Arabidopsis thaliana: one gene and its partner. The protein of the gene in region 2 interacts with the protein of the main gene of each other region in a pairwise test. Each region holds a gene or a part of one and is shown on either strand. Other genes may lie near its edges. The genes, in order: AT4G09100 and RAV2.

Region 1 (6,424 bases), on a different chromosome or scaffold from region 2:
TTTAGAGATTCTGATTCGTAGATCAATAAGATCTGCTCGTCACGACAGTAAATATTGTATTACTACTATGTTAAGTTGGAATTGTTTCGGTCCGAATGATTAGTTTGGTCTTTTCCTCTTAACGTTTTGACTTTGAATAAGTACTACTACAACTACACCGATACCCTATCTATTAACTTGTTGAGTACGCAACAAGACTATGTTAACAGTTTTGACCTCGCCCTACGTATAGACAATTGAAAAACCATCATTTGTTGTTTATGTTCTCTCAAAGAGAATATGACGGACCAATAAGGTTTGTGTATTAACTTGTTGACTACGCAACAAGACTTTATTTTTTAGACAACTGAAATTGTTTTGACCTAATCCTTAATTTTTAGACAACTGAAATTGTTGAAAGCCTAAAACAAAGATAATTTTATTCACAAAGGGAAGCATGAAACGGAAAATCAAAAGTCAAAGGTTAAGAGACACGATTAAGGAACTACATCAGCACCACATATAGGACACGTGGAGCGATAAGAGAGAAGATTAGACCTTCTCTGGCATGAGGTGTTGGAACGACTGTTCACATAAATCTTTGTCCTTAGCTTGGGAAGTCTCTAGCACTAGATCGTCTCTGCCAACTGTGGAACGAACAGAAGCAGCTTGTAAAGAGAAACTTAGAGACATAGATATGGCCCGCCGAAGTGTTTGTCGTCCATGAGAGAAACCGCTTCTGTAGCCCTGTCTCGAACTCATGGCTCGAGGTAAGGTCATGTTGCTTGTCCTTATCAGATTCAAGCTAACCAATTGTCTTTGCATCTCCTCTGGTAACTGAAGTGTGAATCGATCTAGATTCGTACCTAGTTGAAGCAATGAATGTTCATCTCTTTGTTCATTTCCCGTTTCAAGATCCGTGATCGGATATGGATAACTCTCACCGGGTTTGAGAGACAGATTTGCACGACAAGCCGGACATGTGGACTGAGAAGAGAGCCACACATCAATGCAATTAGCATGGAAAGTGTGGCTACAAGGAGGCATCCAACGTAGTGTTTCTTTATCCACAAACTCGCTTAGACAAATTGCACATTCTACTCCGCCTTTGCCTATCTTGAGCCCTTTAACCTCCGAATAGAGGAAAATTGGAAAGGACTCAACGAGTTCCTTCTCGAGCCCACGCCTCGCTCTACTGTGAAACACTTCTTGGCTTGCCGCCTCAACCTCTGCTCTATAGAATGTTTTGTGCAAGAAACAAGCGACCATGCTTAATGAGATAAATATTGCAAGCACAATGATTGCGATTACCGTTTCCGTTGGGAAATTGGTTTTTCTATTGCGGTCTACGGATTCTGACTCTTGCTGGCATGTTACATAAGGTAACAAATGGACAAGGAAGAGCGGCAACAAAACCTTCGTTTCGATCCTATAGATGAGATCTCTCGCGAATATAGTCATGATGTGAACCGTCCTTTTGCTAACCACGGTGGATCACTTGAGCTTCATGTGTTGAGCGAGAGAAGAGAATACGAACAAGCCGTTTTTATAATACTAAACACATTTTGGTTTGTACTCGTCACGACAATACATATTGTATTACTACTATGTTTAGTTAGATTAGTTTTGGTCGGAATGATTGATTTGGCTTCTTCCTCTAACGTTTTGACTTTTGAAGAAGTCTTTACGTCACTATAGACGTAGAACAAGTACTACATTACTCATGCCCTCTCTATTAACTTGTTGATCTACGCAACAAGACTTTTCCAACAGTTTTGACCTAATCCTTATTGGTCAGTCACATCCCTCTGATGTTCACGTCCTCTCAATGGAATGTGACGGACCAATAAGGTTTATGTATTTGGTGCTAGATTATTCGCACCATAACAAATGTTTACATCATATGAGTAACTAATTAAAGCCTTCAAAGTATGGTATATAACTATATATCCGAACGTTTCATTAACTTGTAACTTACATATATACATATTTGTTGTACACAGCATGATAGGTGGTCCCTCTCCAAAGCCAAATAGATGTGTTTAGTGTGTAATACATGAACAAGTAACCAAAGAGATAAACTATGTTTTTGTCATTTTCTAGTCTAATTCATCATCATCATCATGACATTGAATAATTCAATATGCCTCAATTCCTTTGTAGATTATTTCCTTCCATGGAGTAGTATCATCATTACGGTTGGTAAAATATCAACACTATAAAGATAATTTATTTACAAAGGGAGAACTATGTAACGCAAAATGCATAGTAAAAGGCTAATTAAGAGACTCGTATTAAGGAACTACTTTAGCACGACAGATAGGACATGTGGAGCTATGAGAAAGCCAGATGTCTACACAGTCAGCATGAAACACATGTACACAAGGTGGTACCAAACGCAGCGTTTCATCGTCTTTGAATTCATTCAAACACACAACACATTCTAGCTCGCCTATTCCTGGCTCAATTCCTCTAGCTTCCGTGTAAACGAATGAAGGAAACGACTTGATGGCTTCAGCGTCAAGTCCTCGCGGTGGCCTCCTCGGACTCATTCGAGCTTCCTCAATGTCCCCGGCTGCTGCGGCACGGTTTCTGCATCGCCGAATGTAGTAATTAATGATATAAAACGCTATGAACCCGATGCTCGCAAACGCAAACACAATTGTTCCTTCGTTTCTTTTGAAGTATGACATGTTTCGTACTTTAACATCTTCTTGAGTTTTGTAATGGGAAGAGATAGAGAAAGAAGAAGAAGAAAGAGAGACGTGGGGTTCACGTCTTCTTCGTAGTTTCTAGGTGATTTCTACGCGCCACCGTGTTTCTTCGTGTTTCACATAATAAACTAGTGCAATGACTCTAGCACTTTCCCATTTGCTAATATTTTTTAGTTTCGTAATTATAGACTAAACTTAATTTGACGGAATCTAGATGAGATTGGTTAGTTTTGAGATATAGATTATTAGAACCGATCAAAAAAGGTCGAAATATGTAAACATGATATTCATATTATGTGTAGGTGAATACTGAAAACAATATTATCGTTTTTAATTATTTTTCTGATGTATTAATAATTATTTGACAGTGATCTTTTGTCCTTCTGTTTTCAACTTTTGTCTCGACAATGTTCAAGCCTTCAAGGTAATTTATTATCTCATTAGCTCTATTTTATATGAATGATATCTAAAAAATTATTTTGAAAAGAATTCATGTACAAACAATACAACATTGTGTATAAAATGAAAGGAAACAAAATTACGTAGACATAAAATTCGAAACTTTAATACAATCTTAAATGTTAGATAGATAATTATATCATAAAGAAACTTTATATATCATATATATATGCTATAAAAAAAGGTTTAGTTGACCGCCAAAGATACAAATATTTTTTTTTAGTTATTAAAAATATTTTATATAATTCGATGTTTATATACAAAATTTGAAGATCTCGTATACAAATTTTGAATGTACAATCTTTTTAATACAATTTAGATATCCTAGTTTGTATCGTTTTAAATACATAACTAGTTTCTATTCTTAAAGTTACCTTAATAGGAAACTCCCAAAGAAAATAGAAAAATAGGTTAATGTTAAAATTTCTCTAGTTTACAAGAATTATTATTCTCAGTATATTTGAAGGAATTAATAAAGAAGAATTCATAAGTTTTTATTTACCTTTAATATTTCATAGTGCAAATATAAATACGGATAATTTTGCACAAAAAAAATTATATTGAACCACAATATATCACATATGTAAACAACATTTTACGTGAATTGACTTTGTTGAGCTCTAATTAATATCGGTTAACAAAAAAAAAAAGATTGACACAATTAGCACACAAAATTTCTTCCAAAAATAGCACCTCATTTGAAAATATCTACAAATAGCACTCAAAACATTTTCTTCCAAAAATAGCACCTCATTTGAAAATATCTACAAATAGCACTCAAAACATTTTCTTCCTAAAATAGCACCTAATTAAAAAAATTATCAGTCAAAGTTTTCCGTGAAAAAAAAATCTTTCAAATTTTTCCGTGAATTTTTTTTTGTCAAATTTTCCCGCCAAAAAAAATTCCGTAAAAACTTTCCCGCCAAAAACAATTTTTGTCAAAACATTCCGTCAAATTTTTTCCACATAAGAAAATTTAGGAAGGATTCTACGAAAACTGGAAAAAATTTCACGAAATTCAAGAAAGATTTTACAAAATTCAAGAAGGATTTCACAAAAAAAAATCTTTCGTGAAACCCTTCCTTAGTTTTGTAGAAGTCTTCCTAAATTTCCTTGAAAGTTTCCACAAAATTCAGAAAAGATTTTACAAAATTCATGAAAAATTATCATGAAATTAAGGAAGGGTTACAAAAAAAAAAAAGTTTAATTCTGAATTTCTTGAAACCCTTCATGAATTTCTTAAATCCTTCATGAATTTTATAAAATCTTTCGTGAATTTCTTTTTTTTTTTTCGGGAAAATTTGTTTATAAAAGTTTTTGGTGGAAATAATTTTGATGGAAATTTTTGGGGGGAAATATTGTCTGAAATTTATTTATTTTTTGAATTTTCTTATTTATAAATTTTAATAATTAAAAATAAAATATTTATTTGAGTGATATTTTTGTCCAAAAAACTTGAAATGATGCTATTTGTGAAAATTTTATCTTTTTAAGAAAATAAGTAAGTCACTTCTGAACTGACCACATTTACATATCCTTATTCCACAAAAGCTCGATCATAAAAACAAGTATACTCACTGAATCTTAATATATATATATATATATATATATATATACCTTGTTTTGTTGATTCCTTTAAATTAGTTGGTTATAAAGGGTTATTCAAAGAGAACTTCATGATCAGTTAGTTTGAGTGGCGATTTCTAGGGTTGTTTTGTTTTACATTGTTCTTCGTTTATACTTAATCTTAATGCATATGGTTGACATCAAGAATTGATTGGTTATTCCAAGGAAGTAGAATCGCCAACCGTGTAGTTTACTTGCTTGAACCTAGACTTGGATGAGTTAGATCTCTTAATAAGCATATACTATTAGACTGTGGGCTTCCAACTCAAAACCAATTGACAATGAATGGAGAGACCCATATACTATATATACCACTTAACATCCTACTCAACTTCCGATGTGGGACAATATCCTTAATAGGACTCTTCGAAAATCTAGCCATCAATCTTGATAAGCTCGGGCATGGATTGGTGGGCCAAGTATTGGGATGGGCCGATGTGAATTGGGTTGAGTATGTGCGGATCGGGCTCCAATACCATATTAGACTGTGGATTTCCAACTTAAAACCAATTAGCAATGAGTGGAGAGACTCATATTTTATATATACCACTAATCATACTCATCTTCTGATGTGAGACAATATCCCTAATACATACCCATTAGTTTTAGTGTATATGTGAATTTACTTGCTTATAACGCATGACTAGATGTGTCGTCCAGCGATTTGTTGAGTAATGGTGTATCTAGACCTTACATAATTGATTCTGCAAATGGTAGCTCTTTTATTCATTTGTGTTTCTAGTTTGTGAACATAGAATAAATTATTACATATCTTAGATTTCTTTGAATGAAATGATCATCAATACCCCTGCAAAATCCATGAATTCCCAACAATCATTTTATTGACTTTTTCTTGCGTTTCTTTCTCTTGTTTACATTTTTAATTTTCTATTTTCATTCGTGACAAACCCCCAAACCAACTTTATATATTTTTCCTAGCTTTATTCTCTTTTGACGATTTAGTAGCGCTCTCTCTCTCATTGACCAAGCTTTGGATTTGAGATGTTACTCATATATTTCTATTTTCTTAAATATCTTTAAATCTTTGGTTTTCTAATATATAGAACCTTTTTCATAGACATATAATTTCAAAGTTATAAAGTTATCTTTTTGTTTCTATAATCATACATTTCAAATTATAAAGATATATTTCTAATTATAAAGATATATTTCTTTCTTCCAAAATATTTTTATATCTTTGATTTTCTACTATCTAGTGGTTAAAAGTTTTAGATATCATTTCAAATTATAAAGATATATTTCTAATAATATATGTATATTTTCATTTTCATAAGTTTTTTAAAATCTTTGACTTCTTATATGGTTAAACTTTTTTTTATAGACATCTATGTATATAAAAACATATAAACTATCTTCTAAATACTATCTAGTAATATATAAAGACACATATACATTTACTCACATAGACATCCAAAAACAAAATTACTTGAATCTCAATTGAATTGTCATTTAAAAAAAATGGCCAAAATATCATCACTTTTGGCACTTCTTTTCATCATTCTATCTTCCATAATGATCAACCACCTCCATGTGGCGAGTTCCACAAAATGGTGTGTAGCAAAGATGAACGCAACGAATGCGCAACTACAAGGAAATATTAATTTTGGATGTAGTGAAGGAGTTGA
Region 2 (7,532 bases):
AATCTATTTCTGATCTTTATTTATATAAGAAAGAAAAAATTTAATTTGATGTTATTCTTTCCCTTATTTATTTCTACATTTTTAAAACTATAGGGTTCTTGAATGTTTAAAACCTTATTCTAATGATTTTCAATTGATCTGAGTCTGTAGTTGTTTTTTTGGTTTGACTTTATATTTATGGTTGTGCATGCAACAAAATCAATAAAATAATTGCACTATATATGCAAAAACTCAAACTCCAATATTGTAAGTTCGAAAGAAGAAATAATTCTTTTCAAAAAATGTATAATGAAATTTAAGGTTGATAAAGAGACAAGCAAAGCAAAATTCTGCTCATGTAAAAGATAGAGTTTCTAAGAATTTAGCATGGAAACAGGCTAAAGACGTCAAGACTCGATCTCACCTACTTGATACTGGAAGCAGGATACGACAAAGTGGACAATTTTGAGATTGTTGCATCCAGTCTTCAATGCAGAAAGTATGGAAAACATGAGAACAAGAAGAAGTAACGGTTGCTTCCATCCCAAGAAAGAAATCTTCTTGACATATACAACATGTGCCAAACAAATCCATGTCAGGGCCAAGCACTGCCACACATTTGTTATCAGGATGCAATCTTTTGGAAAATTTGGTGAAAAGTAGTTGGAGTTTTTCACCCATGTCACCAAACGATTAATATAAGAATCCGGGAAGTGAGTAAAACCGAACTCATTCATCACACCTCTAATAACCCTCACTAGATAATCGACGCTTTCATCTCTATATAAGAGAATGTATCTTGTACAATTATTCATATCAGAGTCTATTATAATTTTTCCTAAACACCTTTGTGTTCTTACCCTCATCAAATTTATCAGTACCATTCCTTTTTTCTCGACATGAACAACAGAGGAACCCATCTCTGCTTTGACCAAGTCCTCCTCTGCTTCATTAAGTGATCTGCTAGTCCACGGACGATGCTGGCCTTGTCCTCGGTCGTCAACCTCGCCAGATGTGAGATCTTATCTCTTCAAATGGTAAAACATCATTAATGAATCGTGTCGGGAAACAAGGAAACCCGAAGCAATAATCATACTTACTTACCAACAAGGAACGAATCAGTTTCTTGCCGCCCCACTCATGCTCGCTTGCGTAAACAACATCAACCCTAACCTCTACCATGAACTGAGCGTAAGTAAGTGTCTCCTCGAACAGTAAACCCATGTCAACATACGACTGGGAGTAGTGAGACTTCACGGATAAACCCTTACCAACCCGTTGAGAATCGTATCGTTTTAAACCCGCGCGGGTCAAACATCTCTGTTTTGCGACTTTTTCACACTTCCGATGGCTAATCATACCGCAATGTTCACAAAAATCCCCAAGATTCTTGTACTTGAACTGAACAAACTGAAGCCATACAACCTCTAGCAATGGTTACGTACCATTCCGTTCACCAGCCTAGTCGTGTGAGGTTTGCCAGAAGCACTATAAGTCGCTTGAATCTGTTCGGGAACACATTACTATATTTTGGATTTCGTTCAGTTTACATATTTCTGTTTTGAGGTTAAAAGATTTCAGTCATTTATTAATGGTTCGACCTTTGGGGAACGAAACCTAGCTTATACCAATACCAGAAAACTTCGAGACGATAAGAGGCAGACTACTGCTAATTTGTAAGCTTGAATGGTGCCTTGACAATGTGGGCTATGAAGTGGTGAATTTCGAGAATGACTCTACAATTACATCATTCATGCCATATCCTCCCCTCAAGATTGGTCGAGACTCCAAGGTTGCTAACTTTTTTTTTTTTTTTTTTTTGCAAAACTTGTAAATATCATTAGAAATGAAAATAAAGGAATTACAGAAGCAACACCTAGAGTAGAGTAATCTTGGAAAAAAAGAGAGTAAAAGGTTGCTAACTTGCTATGTGAGATCATTAAGACACCTATGAGCATCCTTTAGTTGCCAAGTAAGAGAAATAAGTCCTTGTACGGTAATGGATGAAATTGCCAAGAATTCATCCTCTTTTTCCGATTTATCATGCAATTTTAGATAGTTAATTAATTTGATTCATCTAGTTTTAGGAACGGATAAACATTTAGGTTGTATCCGGTAACGTTTTACTATGAGGTAGGTCTATTTACCACTTTTCCACAAAACCATTGTTCCAATTTATTTTTTGGTCTTATCTCTTTTCCTAAATACAACCTAGCATGAATCACAACCTACACAACTTGACAAAAAAAAAAAATTAAAAAACGAAAGCATAAAATCGGAAAAGGAAATATGTCACAAAGCATTGATTATCGCCTGCTTCTTGGAACACCGTAACGCAAACATATCATCAACATCTCGAGATCTCTTTCCACCGCAAACGGCCACGACGTCGTTTGGCTTCACGGTGGTCACATTAAAGATATCAACTCCGAAAAGCCGAACCACCACCTGAACCGGGTTTTCTCTCGGACCAGACCGAACTTTCCAATCAATATATAACTGCCGCTCTAGTCCGGTCGATCTCTCGAAAGTAACAACATCACCGGCTCGAAGATTCTTCTCCTTGACGAATCGACTCCATCCCTTGGTCAACACGTAACTTTGACTACTGTTCCAGTATGAGTAACGGAACCTCCACACTTTACCGTTAACGTCTTCGAAGTTGATCAAAACTCCTTTAGTCACTGCCGGTGACGGTGACGGTAACGGAAAGTGTTTCTCGGCGTGTTGTTTAGGTATCACGAGACGGTTTAGCTTCCCAACGTCGCTAGGTGTAACAGCCTTCTCGAAAAGAACTTCACGCGTCTTTAAAACTTTGTCGTTTTGAGTAGTACTCGATCCGTTACGTTTTCCGTTAGCGTCGACGGAGAGAAACAACTGCCGTTTATTGTTCTGTTCAAGCTCGTCGGCGTAAGTGTGTTTTCTCAACATGTCGACGATCTCGGCCTTTGAGTGAGCTTCAAGAAAAGCTAAATCGCCGTCTTCCAGAACGTTCTTGAAGTTGACGACGGCGTCGCGGCCACGGAATCTACAAGCTGCGATGTCGTAGGAACGAGCAGCTTCTTCTTGCTCGTTGAAAGTCCCGAGCCATACTCGTTGGTGCTTCTCGTAGATCTGAGCTCCCCATCTTCCGTTAGGCTGAGGAACAACACCTTTGTATTTTGAAGATGGTAGCTTTCGTGACTCCGTCTCTAGGCCGTTCTCGGGATCCAACACGACGCTGCTCCCGCCGCTTCCCATCCGGTAGAGGCGTAACGCCGCCGCGGGAGGAGGAGAGAGCTTCTTGGCGGTGGTGGCGGAGAAAGATTCTGAAGTGGAGGAACTTATCTCGTCTATGCAACTAGAATCCATTTTCTTTGTTTCAGTTTCTTGAAGATTCTCACCAAACCAAGAAACAAAAATTATAACCTTTTAGCAGAAAGAAGAAACACAAATTGGGTGAGAGAGATTTAGGTGACGTTGTTACTTTTTCATTTCTTTGGTTCATCTATATATATACAAAGACATATGATGATGTGAGGAATGGACGAGGCAAGTGCATGTACATGTTATTATTTTATATCTAATTAGTTTTATGTTTTTGAAAGTTAAAATTTGATTGGTTTATGGAAAAAAATGGGTCAAAATGAGAGAACATTTTAAAAATGGAAAGGTAGGGTCAACGCTTTCAAGAACGGCAAAAATAACTTTGAAGGAAGTTTCCGAGAAGGGCAGACAAAAATAAATGTAGTACCACGGCTTTTACATACATATCGTACGTTTGTTATGTACATTTTTTGGAAAAATATTTCAACGGCGTAAGAACATTTTCTTACAACACATTACCACGTACTTTCATAAAATAAGGTTCTCATCAATCATCATATAAGTTGTTGAAACTGATATATAACCATAGTCAAAATTATTATTTTTATTGGATAACGAGAATTTCTTGGTTTTATAACTTATATATAGTTTCCGAAAAAAGATGGGTAGTATAGATTAGATATAGTTAAACATTAACTCTTGATTTTATTCATGATATTAGGGATAATAATATCCCACATTAGAAAAGACAAAGAAATCTTGACTAGTATATAAGACATATATGAGTCAATCTATTTATTAATAGTTGGTTTTGAATTAGATACCTCATATTCTAATATGGTATTAGAATCTGATCCATATGTATTCAATCCAATCTACAATTGGTCCGACGTAATTATAGTTTTTCTGTCGATCTATATCTGAACATACTAAAATTAATGGCTCGGAAAAAAATTATCTCGAGAAAACGTTTTAAGGATAATAATATCGCATTGAAAAGAAACAATTTTTTTGACTAAAATATTACATATAGACAAATCCACTTATTATCAATTAAATTTGAATGAAAAGTTCATATTCTAATAGATCATTAATTCATTGATTTATTATCAATGATCAATCCATATCAAATTTTATGTACAATTCAACACAGTTATGACATTCTAGATGCTTGGAGGAGAAACTAATTCACTAAATATCGATATGTTTTTCAACAATCCAAATATGTTCAATTATCTTGCTACATTTTGACATACATAGAAGAGTCAGATAAACAAAAAAAAGTCAGAGAAGAAGAAAATAAAATAAAATTAAGTCATTGACAAAAAACAATACATACAAATGAATAACCAATGGGTTACATGTTCATGGTAAATGTGGACCTACCAAGAGGGTCAAGTGGGATGGGGGCTCACATGAACCTATCCTCACTTCTTTTTTTGGTATATTTTAGTTCATCCCCCTTTGAAGCAATTGTTGTATGACCATATTTTTTTCACCATCTTTATATTTTTATTGGTTAAATGTTTTGTAAATTGATTAGAAAACAAAAAAGAGACTTTTGGATAGGTTGGTCGCAAGGATTATGATCTTATCTGATACTGTTGTCTCATACACTCATACAAATATCGTAACATATTCTGCTTTTTATTATATTTTTCAGTTTCCTTCTTAATTTGTAGCTCTTCAATAGAAAATGTTTTGTATTAATTTTGCAATAAGCAAACACTAATAATTCTCTTTATACAACTTACCATGTGGTATATGATATTTCTAATTTGTTACATAATATATAGAATAGTATCGATGTATGTATCTCTATATATATTTGAGAGAAAGAAAAATGGATTTATTGTGGACATGGCGTGATGTTCCCGCTTGGGAGGGGAGACAATTTGACTAGTTTGAGCTTATCCAACCAAATATTTTTGAAACACTCCAACGTTGATACGTTTTAATTTTCACCCTTTTAAATAGTTTTCACTTTACATATTTATAGCTTTTTACTAGTTTGTAACTATAATGTTCATATCGTCCGATTGTTTCTTGAATGAACAATTATTTTGTATTGATTTTTTTATATAATCGTAGACACGTATAATACTATCTTTGAGGTATGAACCGATAAATTTGTTGCTACCAATAAAAACTGAAAACACACTGTATTTCATAAATTTAAGATACCATCCGAATATGTTCTCTTACTACTTACTAGACTACTAGTCCAACTCAAATTAATTTGATTAAGAAGAATTAATTATATACTTGAATCCATATCTATTTAAACACTACAATATGTATTTCTATATCACCTCTCATCATCCCAACACATTTAATTTATCAATTAATATGAAACTTCAATAACCATCCAAATCACATGATAAGTTTGAATGCTGAATCAGTAATAATAAATAAAAATAAAAACATCAGCGAACAAGAAAATTAAGCATATTTTGCTAAACCCTCTCATGTTAACTATGGGAATTAATTTCTTTAACAAAAAAAGAAAGAAAATTAAGCATATTGATAGAAAATATCCTGAGAAAATCGTTAAAATGTGGATATAAATGTTGAGAAAAAAAGACAAATAATTATTTGAAAGTATAAGAAAAGGTCCATGCAACGTAGGAAAAAACATCGGGGTAAGGTGTCGCAACAGACGATGTCGTTTGGTCAACAATTTGGAGATGAAATTTAAAGTAGGAGAAAACTTGTGATACGTTTTAAGAACGAAAAAGTCAGCTCCATCATTGTCATTTGTCACTGTTAAGTATGGACCCAAACCTCATCTCATCCTAATTTTAGTAATATTCCGATTCCATCTCACTCGTTGGTTTTAGATTCTTATCTTCCATCGTTGAGATCGTACAGTTTTGGTAAGAAGACAAAGACTTCATGTATTATTGACATTTTTTCGTATTTCCATCTTCGGCTAATCAGACTTGACTAACTAAATTATATAATTCTGGTGGAATAATGAAACTCGTGGCCTAGTTTTGGACCACCAGAACTAACTTAATTAAATGATTATACCACCAGAACCAACTTAATTTAACTAATAGATTCAATTTTGTGGCTCCTACATACTATATAATTGGATACAAAAGTGAAAAGAAGAAAACTTAAATATTAACTAGCGTGCGACTAATTAAATATTATACACATCAAACTTTTGTAAATTGCAGCAGCCACTCGTTAGCGAGTTTCCATGACCTCACTAAGTAATGTTTACACATAAGTATATTATTGTTTCCGTTTACAATATATATAAATGATCTCACTTATAATATTGTCAACAATGAATTTATGTAAAAATATTAGACGATAAGCTAATTTTTTTTTTCATGTTGCTGAATCAAATAATCTAATTTGCATTTGTTAGATTTACTCAAAACTAAATAAACTTGAAAGTTTATCAAATCAATACTTTATGTAAAAGTGACTATCTGAAAAAAAAAAAAAAAAAAAAAAAAGTGACTATCTGGAAATGAAGCGACTTTGTCCAACTTGATGTTCTGTTCATAAAGCCGAGCAAAACAACAAATAAATAAAACTAACTGAAAATAAAATTATCATTGATTAGTTTAGCTAATTCGTGACTTAATGTAGTGATTAGTACTATGATAATATCATGTGAGGCAAATGAGAATATATTTGACTGTATCTTTTGATCACGTATCCACGTCGATACAGACAAGCTGTATATGTTGCGCGTACATTATGGTCAATGTTCTTACGATTCTTTTCACATTTCTTTTCCAGTGCTAATACAAATATTTTTATCAGTATACACGTTATGGATTCATTGTATAACTTGTCATCGGTGGGAATAATATTTCTCATCTGTTATTTATCCGTTATGTCATTCGTCGATGTACGACCCGCTTCAAAATAAAAGAATTTCGTAATTAGTAAAGCAAATACAAATTGTCAATTCACCAAATAGTGATCAAATATATGTTTGTCAAAAAAAATTCTTATATCTTAAGAAGATCAGATAGCTGCATTAAATCTTTGAATATCCGCTTGATTATTCGAAACGAGTATCATAACATCAACAAAACTAGTAGAAAGTATACAAGTAATGAAAGTAATTATATATATGGACTATATATAACATTTGTCTAACATTTGATAGTATTTGTTTTTTCTATGTCAAACAGTGATTTGTTATATCGATTCATAACGAACCATCAAGTTTTGGCCTTAAATGTTGGCAAGAAATATTTATAAATGCGTCGGTCAAT

The links.
Region 1: the proteins of RAV2 (region 2) and AT4G09100 interact in a two-hybrid assay, tested with the Arabidopsis thaliana proteins (one large-scale study listed by BioGRID).

What each region holds. Positions count from the first base shown.
Region 1 is NC_003075.7:5,807,504-5,813,927, reverse strand, and holds AT4G09100 (RING/U-box superfamily protein), read right to left. Parts: upstream 2,814-6,424; 5' UTR 2,673-2,813; coding exon 2,274-2,672; 3' UTR 2,082-2,273; downstream 1-2,081. Other genes in the region: AT4G09110 (RING/U-box superfamily protein), read right to left, coding at 532-1,440; AT4G09090 (Carbohydrate-binding X8 domain superfamily protein), read left to right, coding at 6,258-6,424.
Region 2 is NC_003070.9:25,876,240-25,883,771, reverse strand, and holds RAV2 (uncharacterized protein), read right to left. Parts: upstream 3,450-7,532; 5' UTR 3,331-3,449; coding exon 2,272-3,330; 3' UTR 2,222-2,271; exon of another isoform or gene 1,817-2,221; intron 1,807-1,816; 3' UTR 1,550-1,806; downstream 1-1,549. Other genes in the region: AT1G68845 (uncharacterized protein), read right to left, coding at 854-1,007, 1,076-1,338.